3 linked regions of the Oryzias latipes genome follow. The protein of the gene in region 1 interacts with the protein of each later gene in a pairwise test. Links are inferred from orthologs where the notes say so. Each region holds a gene or a part of one and is shown on either strand. Other genes may lie near its edges.

Region 1 (4,329 bases):
ACAGACCATAATAACCTTGAAAAAGACTGCGTGAAGATATGAAGTCTTCAGTCTATAAATGTCACTCAATAAGGAAGCCTGACATTTTTAAAGAATGACACCAACAGCTTAGCTGTTGAAGAATAATTACAAATGTCATGAGTCATATTTTTTATGTCCTAAAAATTGGCTTCTCGGTGCCAGCAGGTACTTCCTGTTTGGAACGCGAGGGAGGAAGAGTTACTCAGTCCAACTGTCTAATACTGTTTATGGCTTCTCATTAAATAATCAGAACGCAACCAAAATCAAACATAACAAATCCAATCCAATGATTAAACATAATTTTTTAACAAATAGCATTTATTTGATTCCATTAGAGAAAATACGAGAACCGTCAGCAAAGATTTCCTGTTTGTCATAGAAACATGGCTCCATAGGAGATTTGCTGAAGAAGAAAAGCAGGAATGTGAGGAAAACAGCTGAAATTATCTCATCTGGATTCTTGCTGAGTTTCTATGATCACATAGAGACCGCTTCATGTGGAAACCATACATAAGGTTTCATAAAGTTCACTGAATGAGATCAACTCGCCAACAATCTGACCAGCAGGGGGAGCTGCTGCACAGAAGCCAACATTTGAAATCTTCCTAGATTCAGTCAGTCTGTGGTAATTATCAGTTCTCCATCGACCTTCATCGCTGCAGCTAAGAACCATTTTCAGTCACTGGTTTGTCCTCTTCATCAGTGTCGTCCTCCTCGCTCTCGCTGTACTGGTAGTTACATCGGTTTGTGTTTACAAAAAGGTCGCTGTCGTCCTCCTCGGAGCTGCATCCTTCCTCTTCCTCATGTTTTGTCTCCGCGTCCTCCTGACGCGTGTTTTCGTTATTGTGTGGCAGCTTCTCCGTGAAGCCCTCAGGCCTGGAGGGGAGCAGAGAGAAGCATGAGAGCCCGAAGCGACGCACACGTCCTTGTGTCTTCAAACTCACCAAAGCTGCTGTTTCTGAAGGTTCTGAATGTGATCTTTGTAGAGGATGAAGCTGATCTCCGCCTTCACCTTCTCTCCCTCCTCGATGGGATCCACAATCACGAAATCGCCTGAAAGTCGAGCCAAAAACACAAACCCCAAGAAAACGTATTTATAAAAATGACAGAATAATTGATTTCTATGACCAGTTTTTGCTGATCTAACTTCAGAATTTCATTACCTGTTCGTCTAAATTAAACAAGAAATTAAATTAATTTAGATTTAAAGGTTATAATATACTTTTAAGAGTTGTGGCTAAAATATGTAGTTTTTTTAGATGAGGAAAAACTGTTGTACTGTAATTTTTACATGAATACAGTTTGCTGAATAAATAAAAATAAAAAAAATAAAAAATGTAGGCAAAATTAATTTGTGATCATAATTTAAAAAGCTTTATTAGAAAATCTAAAAGTTAAATGCAAGTGGAACAATTCCAGACAAGAGTGTTTCCAAAAATGTGCTGATAGTTGATGTGCACAAACCCCCCTTAAACCAAAATGATGTCCAGATATTTAGGTTTGAAATACCTGAACATCGTTTTTATAAATCTGAAAATGTTCTTGCATTGGCATATCTTCCTTCTAGCCTGAAATCCAATCAGTTTTATGCACAGTTCTAATGTTCGAATGGTGTTGCCTCAACAGACAATAGGTCTTAAAACCAGGGAATTGAATCCAAGACTTCCATGTTATGAGGTTGGTTTGCTCTCCAACAGCCCCTCCTAAATGTATACAGTAAATCGACAATGTGTAGTTGCTTGTCTTTCAGCCTTAAGTCAAACCAAACACGTCTTTCTCTCCCAAAACCTTTTTTAGAGCAGTTTCAGGCATGTACATCTATAAACATCAGGAATAGTAACCGTTTTATAATCCCGTACCTCTCTTGATCCAGATGTTTTTCCGGAACTTGGTGGGCATGCTCACCAGGAAAGTCTCCCCCTGAGCCGTGACTGCTTCGTGCAGATTGTTGCCTCGACTTCCAACAACCTGAGGATGTGCAGTGGATGAAAAAAGGGAAGGAGGAAGTTTTTGTAAGATTGTTAACATTTTTTTACATTCCTGTTGATCTTTAATTATTAGGACAGTATTCTGCAAAACACTGAGTTCACCTTTACAATCTGCTGGTTTTCTGTCGGTGTGACAAAATCTCCAAGAACTTCCTTGACAACATGTTTGCGTTTGGTGGCCTGGGACATTATAGACAGTCAAGTGGTGCTTTGGTCGCCAGCTAACACAAAGAAAAGACAAAAAAAACTTAAAAATTGAATTTTTAGTATTCAAAGTTCAAGTTAAGATGCTTTTTGTTTTTTTTGTATGCGACACGATGTATAGTCTGAGGTTAAAATAAAGTTTGCTTCATTTAAATACAAAAGAGTTAATACTTTCCGAGGTGAGGGGGATCGTTGTGCGCATGTCAAATCAAATGTCCACCAAAAATTAGCAAAGCTAGCACTAGCACGGACAGAAATATCTCAAAACCCATTTCCAACCCATAAGGACGAAACTTACATAATTGGTAAGGGGAAAAGCATTATTATTATCATTGTGCAAGTTACCAAATATTTGTTTTTCCTTTAAGCTATATATACAATATATATATTGACATTCGAAATTTAAATCAATAATGCTAACGACTTAGCTGTGTAAGCAAACATTAGACCGTAACTTTTTTTCGTTCGTCGGTTTATTTACCTTGGAAAATAGATAATATTCTTTCAAAGTAGGATTTGAACCGGCAAAAGAAAAACTGAATAAAAACGGAGCAGAAATATTAGGACTTGAACAGAAGTTTTAGCCGTTTAGAGTCGCGTGCGGTTGTTAGTAAAAACACGGTGGAAGTAACCAAACACTTCCGGTATCACTGTTTGTGTGTTCAAAATAAAAGAACCTGTTTTGTTCACTTTAAATAGTAGTGCCTTTAAAAGGAATGATAAAACCCCATTAATGCTTGTTTCTTGTAAATAAGAATGAGTATAATCCTCCACATATCACAAATGTCACCAACATTTTTTTAAACTTTTTTTTTTGGTTTTGTTCAAACATGTTTCTTCTGAAACACCAATGATTACTTCCTGAAGTCTTGCCATGACCTGTAGGAAATGTAGTTTTTAGGCCATGAGTAACGTTCAAGATCACCAACATGACAAATTCAGATGTGCCAAATTAATGTCTTTTCTAGGTAAAAATTCACCATTGTAGACTGAAAAAGCGTAAACACTCTCCCTCTCTCTCTATATATATATAAAACTGAGGTTTTCGCCTTTTATATATATATATATCTATATATCTATATAGATATATCTATATCTATATCTATATCTATCTGCAATGGGAATGATTCCATATACACACATATATATATCTATATAGATATATATATGTGTGTATATGGAATCATTCCCATTGCAGATACTCTCCAACTGGATTGTTGATTTAGTCCAGGATTCCCCTTAAAGTGTGGAAAGACTTATGCTAAAGTTTATCAAGTACCATGTAACCCTTGTGCTATGCTAGGCACTTTAACGTTGGGAGTTGGGTCATCTAGACCCACTAGACACTTCTCTGAACCTTTTTTCTTCAATGATTTGTGATCTTCACTGGTGTCCATGGATTACAAGAAATCCTCTTCACCTTCATCCACTTTTGTCATAGTAGGGAGAACACATCAAAGTAAAACTGGGGTCATAGAATAGCACAAGGGTTTAATATAGGAAATCACTGAAATCCCTACAATAGTTTACCAAAGTCATAGTTAAAACCACCTCAATATCCAGAGGCACAAAAAGGTCAAAGAGCTACATAACAATTTATTAAATAATGGAGTGAACACATGTATGCATTTCTGGTATTGAATTTTATTTTTAATTATGCTCCAGAAAAAAACTTCCATACACAAGAGAATTAATGGTTCCAATCTCTTTATTTAGTTTTTGCCCATAATTCATCATTACAGCAGTCAAAATTGCATTTCAGGTGTGTAGTATTGTGTAGACCCCAGTAAAACCAAAGTACTAGTCTTTCAGGAACACAATAATACTTCAAAGAACTTCCAGTTAAGCTGAAGAGGCTTCAAGCTTTGGGCTCAGTCACTGCAAGTGGAAAATGAACTACACTCAATACTGCATTTTTACACGGCATCTCTATAAATTGCTGGAGGAAACCTGCTGGTATGAATCATGCACACAAAGCTTGTTTTAAGAATACTGTAAAGCTTGATGAATTGGAGTTTTCACTGGATAAAGTGACAAGGAAGAGGAGGTCTGAAGTTAAATTGTGCAACTTTGTTTAACGGAGTCTTGGATTGTAGTCTTCATGTGTTTTGTAAAG
Region 2 (3,578 bases), on another chromosome or scaffold:
GCCCGGCCCGGTCCCACTGACGCTCTAACATGACGGCAGCCCAGCTTTCGGCGGCAGAACGTACCTCGTTGGCGGCTGCAGCCATGGGGGTTGGGTGGTTGGCCATGTCGCCCATGGAGATGGCCAACCTCAGGTCCTTCTGAATGTGCTTCAGGTAGTAGTCTGGCTTGAAGTTGCCCTGCAGGATATCTGGCAGAGGACAGAACCGTGAGCCTAAAGCTTTCAGTTTGAACTTCCTGAAATCGGTTGCTATGGTTACAGAAGGACCTGTCAATACTCAACATGAACACATTTAATCAAAGCCTCAAACCGTGGAGCTACTGACTTTGGCACTTCTGGTCCACAAAGGTGCTGGCCATCTGGCCCTGGCACAGGATGTCCAGGAAGGTCTGCTGTGATTGGCCCGTTGCTTGGGCTAGAGTTAAGCCCTCTGCAATGGTGGCCATGAAACTGCCCTGCACCATGTTGAGGATCAGCATCATTCTCGCTGCGTTTCCTGCTTCACCTGACGACAGAGACTACGTGAGAACAGGACCTGCATGAAGATCGCCCCAAACCACCTGGATATACCCTCACAGGGGGCAGAAACACCAGTCTGTGTGACAACTATTCTCTATTCTTAGTTACCAAGAAAGAAGGAGGTTTTGCCCATGGCCTGAAAACAGCTGCTGCAGTCCTCGTACACGGTCCGGTCGCCTGCAGCCAGGATGACCAGCATGCCGTCGTTTGAGAGCTGCTGGCTTCCTGCCACCGGAGCTTCCAGAAAGCGTCCGCCTCGCGACGTGATCACCTGCCGTTCAAAGACAGAGTTCAGCGGCTGCGGAGGCGCCCACCCGAGCAGCTTCAGCGTGCAGAAGGCACACCTGGGACAGCTCTGTGATGGTCTCCGGGTCCACGGTGGACATCTCGATGTAGCATTTGCCCGGCCTGATTCCCTGCAGGACTCCGCTGGGTCCTAGCACCAGCTGACAACAAACAGGAGCTTTGGTCAGACCTGACGCTGCCGCAGTGACAGCCGTCTGTTTCTACAGAGAAGATGCTCACGTCTCTAGCAGCCTTTGGGTCAGAGACACAAGAGAAGGTGATGTCACACATGGAAGCCACTTCTGCCGGGGTTCTGCCTAACCTGGCCCCCTCCTGGATGAACAGGTCACACTGGGAAAAAAAAAACAAGTGGAGTTTGGTCAGACGGTACTTTTCTGGTAGCGTCACAGAAAGGCCTGACTTTTAGCCGCTCCTCTAAACTGGCGGGACATGAAGGCACCTGGTAAGCGGAGTCTACAGGAAGAATGACAGGGACCTGAATGACGGTAGAGAGCTAAAGACCCGCCGTTTATTCACCTGCAGAGCGGAGCCGTGCTACTACTGAACTAGAAAACAAGCTTCATTCAAGATCACCTGCAGGCACCAACAGGTGAAGGAAAGCCACTCAAAGGGCCGGAGAAATGTTTGCACCAGATCAGGAGTCCTGAAGCAGAGCTAGTGAGTGGAAACGTTCCACATCTACCCGGAACAGATCAGATCTAGTGCTACGGTGGAACAGAAAAACGGCTGTTCTATAGACGTTTCTGTGACGTTAGCTGCAGTTTTCATCAAACACACACAAAACAGGGCGTCTGAAGAAGACGGTACCTTTTCGGCGGTGCGGTTCCACACGGTCACAACGTGACCCATTTTTAACAGGTTGGAAACGATGCCACTGCCCATGAGCCCCAGACCCAAGAAACCTATCCTACGAGACACAATTCACAGAGAGCAACCATTACAACACACTCAGACGGTGGTGCCAGAGCGCAGCGGGCTGTCCTCACCTCTTATCGGTGGGGGTGATGCTCCCGTTAATGGCTGTGCTGTCTGCTGCTTGAATGGATGTGGAGCCTGTGACCTGCGTCACAAACACTCTGCATCAGCTGCAGTGACACCCCAACACAGTCCTGATCCAGAACATCAGAGTCCTCAGAACGCTTCTCGCTGCCTTTTGGTTCCTCTGAGAATCAGGGGACTGGGACATAGTTTCTGCAGAGCGGCAGCAGTTCCTAAGAAACTCACCATCAAGCAGTGGGCAGGGCTGTTGGCGTGGACGTAAGCCTCCGGTTTATTTCCATCATCCCCTTGTTCCCACTGCCCCCCCCCCCCTGCCCCTCCCCATCCTAACATTAGCGTAGCAACAGAATCAGCAGCAACATCAGATCCGTCCATCCGTCCAGTTCTGATCCAGACTCCAGTTCAGACCAGGAAAACACAGACGCTCATGGATCTGTTGGTCTGCAGGTGGATGGTCAGAAAGGGGCGGAGCTTGGAGACTGACCTGCAGACTGTAGTTTGTACAAAACAACCACAATCTTTCACAATTGTAGTCCTGATTCCCCACGATTTGAATAAAGAAACACTCAGTTGTAGTTTTAGTTCATTTGTTTGGGTGTCTGAGGCCTTTTCAGAGGTATTTTTATTAAAAACATTTAATAAAAAAAGCCCCATGGGAGAAAAACGGCTCCCCCAAGGAAGAAGTTGACTGACCTCTTCAATGATCTTCAGGCGTTTGCTTATGGGCTCCATGGAAGAGGCTGGCTGTGGACACAAAGCACAGGTGGTGAGCAGGTGAGCCTCTCAGGTCTGACTAACCAGCTGGTAACCAATCAGTGACAGATCCACCATGGGATCCACAACTTCACTGTTCAGGTCATAAGCACAAGCAAAAGGTCACCTCTGAATATCTGCACCGACACGCGTGACCTACTGCACACGCTAGAGAGTGCAGGAGTCCAACGGATGACAGCAGATAACGCCGCCACTAAAACAACCAATCGGGGAGAAATCCCACAGATAAACAGTTTTTAACAGACTGACCTGAACATTTTTTGTCACATTTGTCTGGATTGTTCATAAAAACAACCCAAAATTCTGCTCCATAACCCCCACATTGTGGAGGACAATTCGTTTTAGCGTCACGCATGACAGCCTTAGCGTGCACTGATGAGATCCATTCATGTCAGAGAAACCCGTCAATGTTGGGGAAGAAAATAACTCGTTTGTGCTTCAAGCAGACGAAACCAGAAGCTGGACTGGAGAGTCCAACGAGTAACCATGACGACGAAGGTCAGCGGTCCCCACGCGGCGCTGACGAGCCAGAAGAAGTGATCTCACCATCCATGTATGAAGACGTTTTCTAACCCTCAGTCCCACCATGTAAGCAGTTCCTAAACCCCCTCCCCTCTCTGGAAGGCAGGAAAAAAGCCACACCCCCATCCCGCTCCTCTTAATGGGATTCTTACCTTCTCTGACTGGCTGAGCAGGAAATGATGAAAATGTGGGTCATCTTTGACTGGCTGCAACACAACAAGAGGAGTGTTAATGGCTGGTGTTGGAGCAGGGCTAGTTCCCATCCAAACACCTGCTTTGACAGAAGGCTGCAGTCTGGGGTAGGAGGGCCCCAACAAACCCATTTCAACGTTTCCACCTGCAGGTGTGTTGGGGGGTGTCAGCCTGCTGTCCACCGACTGTCAGGGCCTTTGGGGGGCCCTAAAACATCTACAGCTCTGCCTTCTTTTTTGGGACAAAATAGACATTTTGTACATTAG
Region 3 (3,578 bases), on another chromosome or scaffold:
CCGGGACGGCGCCATCACCTTCACCTGGATCGAGCACGACATCCACGGTGAGCGCCGCAGTCACAGAACCTCACGCGACCACCAGCAAGATGAGACAGGCTGCAGGTTTAAGGAGTTTTAGCCTTCATTTTCATTCTCCCGTTTCCAAACAAGTGAACGAAGCTTCAATCTGTCAAATATGTGTTGACCGCTAGCAACTTTAGCATTCTTTGACCCTGACAGGATTTCTTTAACAAGAAAAACATTCATGTTTTTAATTTTTGACATACAGTAATCAGTTCACTTATCAGATTAAATGTTTTGCAGTCAAGAGGCAAAAGAAAAACCAAACAAACACATTTTCTAGCTGTAGTGGTTGTTTTTGGAAGTAGCATTTCATTTAGCATAGCTAGCTTTGTTCAAAATGAATTAGCTTTCTTTAAGCTACAGAAATGTAACATTTCTTATTTGAGGTATTTAAACTTTATTTTGGCTTAATGATAAAATAGCATAATTAGCTTTTCTATTATTAGTCTTTTTTATTTTTTGTCAGATTTTTATTTTTATTATGTTGAAATATTTCAAGCTAGGTTAGCATTCAGCTTTCACGTGACATTTTTACTACTGTTTAGGATTTAAATGTTGCCACTATACACAATTTACATGACTTTTTATACCATTAATGAGTTAAATTAGAATTTAATATTTTCTTTATTGCTTTTTCCCCGATTAGCTGTTAGTCTATGTTAGCTGTGGTTTCTTTCTGATAGAGAGAGAGATGTACACTACTTTAATAATTCACATTAAAATAAAGACACACTTTACATGAAAATAAAATAAAATAAAGGCATAGATAGATAGATAGATAGATAGATAGATAGATGCATACATTTTTTAGTATTTTTTATTGTTTTTTTTTAGTCAAACTTCTTAAAGATTATGTTTAGCCTAAAAGGCAGGTTTTTTTAAAACAGGTTAAGCTAATTTAGCATTTGGCTAATCTGTAGCATCAATTGTTCTTGAGCATTTTACAGCTTTTTTGAAAAAAAATTCTTCTGTATTTTTTTTAGCTTGATGAAAATATAGCATCATTAACTTTTCTGTTATAAGTTTTTTAAGTTTTAGCAAAGTTTTTTTTTTTTAACACTATCCCACGTAGACTTTATTTGAATATTTAAACACGATGAGGGTAAAGAGGTTTTAAGGTTCTTTATTTATGTTTGTTACAATTAGTGGTTAGCCTGTGTTAGCAGGCGTGCTGTTACCTATGCTAATACCCTACAAGTTGCAGGTTGAATCGCAGGTGCTGAACAATATGGATGTGTAAAGAGACCGAGCTAAAGTAACACATTGTTTAGTAAATAACATCCAAGAAGGTTCTCAAGTCACCTGCATTTGAAAACACCTCCCACATCATTATACCACCACCACCAGCCTAAAACATTGATATAAGCATGATGGATCCCCACTTTTGAGTTTTACATGAAATTCTGGCCCAAACACCTACAAGTTAAGGTGGAATCAGGCGATTCTTTAGTTTATCCGTTTTCTTCCGTCCCTCCAGACAAGCCGATTTTCCACTCCGTTGAGCCGTACACCAAGAAGGAGCTGACTGCTGTTTCGCTGCCCGACATCATTCGCACCTACAAGGTGATGGCGGCCGAGAACATTCCAGAGAACCCGCTGCGCTTCCTCTACCCCGCCATCCCCAAAGACAAGGCTTTTGGGAAATACTACCCCAAACCCCCAGAGCGTAAGACACGCTAGCGGATCCGTCGCGCCCTCATTTCTGAGCGCAGACTTTCACGTCTGTCCCTTCCTCTTTTAGCTCAAGAGCCCATGGACGTGGAGAGCTCGCAGCCCAGTGGCTACATGAAGACAGAGCTCATATCCGTTTCAGAAGTGTAAGCGCCGACTGCAAACGCCTTCAGAAGTTACTGACACACGTGCTTCTAACAAACCGCTTCCTCCACCTGGTTCAGACCGCCGTCCAGGCTGCAAGACAACATCATGCCCATGTCTCCGGACGACTACAAGGCACTGGAGCAGTTTGTGGGCCACAGAGACATCGATGCTGTGGTAAGACAAGATACACATCCAGTTCTGTTCACAGTAAGAACGATAAACCCACCACATTATTATTATTTTCATCCCTAAACTGCTTCAAAAGTGCAGAAATTTCTCCTTTCACGTCAATGGATTTTCAAAATAAAAGCTTTTAACGTTTGATGAACACTGTAGGAAAATAGCATTTTGTGGTTTAAAAAAATCACTGTCCAAACAAAACAAAAAAAACTTAAAACACAAATTCTTTCCCATAGAAAAAGGGACCCCAATTTGCTAAAAAGTCACCAGTATAAATAGCATTTTAAGATTTGCAGATAAAGTACTGTTTAGTATTTGAAAATATGGACTAAAAGAGGAAGAAAGATGAAAAAAGTGTTAAGAAAATCACGTTTTTTTTAATGATTCTTAGTCTGTTCAACTGCAAACTTTCTGTCTTTCTCTCCTTGTCGCGCTCTCAGACCAACAATCTGATGGACTTTGGAGGGTTTGACGCTCAGGTACACCCCCAGAGTTGATGGTTCACTCCTTGTACTAACTGTCAGACTCCTTGCACTCCTTTATTTATTAGCATGCCTCTCTAGTTTAGTCAATGCACGGCATTAATGCATGACGCACAATATTTGCTAGTTTGTTGATTTATCCATCTGATCAGAAATGAGAGGATGGGCTCAATTTCTGTAGCTGTTCTAGGAATTTCCAAAGCAATAACCAACGTTAAGTTGAAGCTGCCTGAAATAAAGAAAAAAAAACAATATTCCTGTATTAATGTAAAAAAATATCTGTTGCAGACCTAAAGCAACCCTGATCTGTCTCCTTGCTAGCATGGCCTGCGCTAAAAATGAAACGCAATAAAAATGAGTATTTAGACAAAAAATACCTGTTAGTAATACAAAAAATATTCAATCTTTAAAAAGAAGATAAACATAAGAACAGATTAAAGGCTCCAGATTATGGGTAAATGCTAGAATTGAGGGTGAAAATATATTAATATTAATGAAGAGAACAACGGCTTTGCGCAACACTTGACCAACGTAAAGTAACAGAAAGTCGCTTCCCTCTTCGTGAATCCATCGTAATTACGTTATTTGTGTAAACAGTCAAAAACGTTATCATAGTTCGTTTAGGTGTCGTTTAGGGTCAGATGTTACTCTAGCCTTGACGTTCTTTGAACTACCGTACCTGGCGCTGATATGCGGCATTTTACAGTATTGTAGCCTTTACGCAATTACCGTAAACCAGCTAATTCTGACGCGGAAAATGTTTTGCGTTGTTTATGCAGACGTTTATTTCTTTATGTCGCATATCAGCATAAAGCCTCTTTTTATCCATTGGAATTACGATAATTGTGTAAATGGTTGCAGTAGTTCATAGAACGTGTTATTTTGCTGTCGGCAGAGTTAAAATGCTAAAATTACGAGATTTAAAGCTAAGTGCTAAACTAGATACAAATATTTTATTTTGGACAAAACATTAGCGAAACGCTGAAGTACCTCAAAACGTATTTAGCTGAAAATGAATAATAATATATATAT

The links.
Region 2: the proteins of eif1ad (region 1) and glyr1 interact in binary tests that used the Homo sapiens proteins (3 or more experiments, as listed by UniProt). The two-hybrid records come from large-scale screens. The link is inferred for Oryzias latipes from reciprocal best matches to the Homo sapiens genes EIF1AD and GLYR1.
Region 3: the proteins of eif1ad (region 1) and signal transducer and activator of transcription 1-alpha/beta interact in binary tests that used the Homo sapiens proteins (3 or more experiments, as listed by UniProt). The two-hybrid records come from large-scale screens. The link is inferred for Oryzias latipes from reciprocal best matches to the Homo sapiens genes EIF1AD and STAT1.

What each region holds. Positions count from the first base shown.
Region 1 is NC_019868.2:26,090,977-26,095,305, reverse strand, and holds eif1ad (probable RNA-binding protein EIF1AD), read right to left. Parts: upstream 2,856-4,329; 5' UTR 2,695-2,855; intron 2,231-2,694; 5' UTR 2,199-2,230; coding exon 2,112-2,198; intron 1,990-2,111; coding exon 1,881-1,989; intron 1,075-1,880; coding exon 966-1,074; intron 898-965; coding exon 684-897; 3' UTR 319-683; downstream 1-318.
Region 2 is NC_019866.2:25,324,943-25,328,520, forward strand, and holds part of glyr1 (putative oxidoreductase GLYR1), read right to left. Parts: intron 3,327-3,578; coding exon 3,273-3,326; intron 2,569-3,272; coding exon 2,518-2,568; intron 1,886-2,517; coding exon 1,812-1,885; intron 1,733-1,811; coding exon 1,633-1,732; intron 1,156-1,632; coding exon 1,045-1,155; intron 966-1,044; coding exon 864-965; intron 791-863; coding exon 628-790; intron 506-627; coding exon 326-505; intron 190-325; coding exon 65-189; intron 1-64. UniProt on the Homo sapiens protein: Cytokine-like nuclear factor with chromatin gene reader activity involved in chromatin modification and regulation of gene expression. Acts as a nucleosome-destabilizing factor that is recruited to genes during transcriptional activation.
Region 3 is NC_019860.2:3,984,169-3,987,746, reverse strand, and holds part of signal transducer and activator of transcription 1-alpha/beta, read left to right. Parts: coding exon 1-47; intron 48-1,543; coding exon 1,544-1,732; intron 1,733-1,807; coding exon 1,808-1,883; intron 1,884-1,961; coding exon 1,962-2,058; intron 2,059-2,504; coding exon 2,505-2,543; intron 2,544-3,578. UniProt on the Homo sapiens protein: Signal transducer and transcription activator that mediates cellular responses to interferons (IFNs), cytokine KITLG/SCF and other cytokines and other growth factors.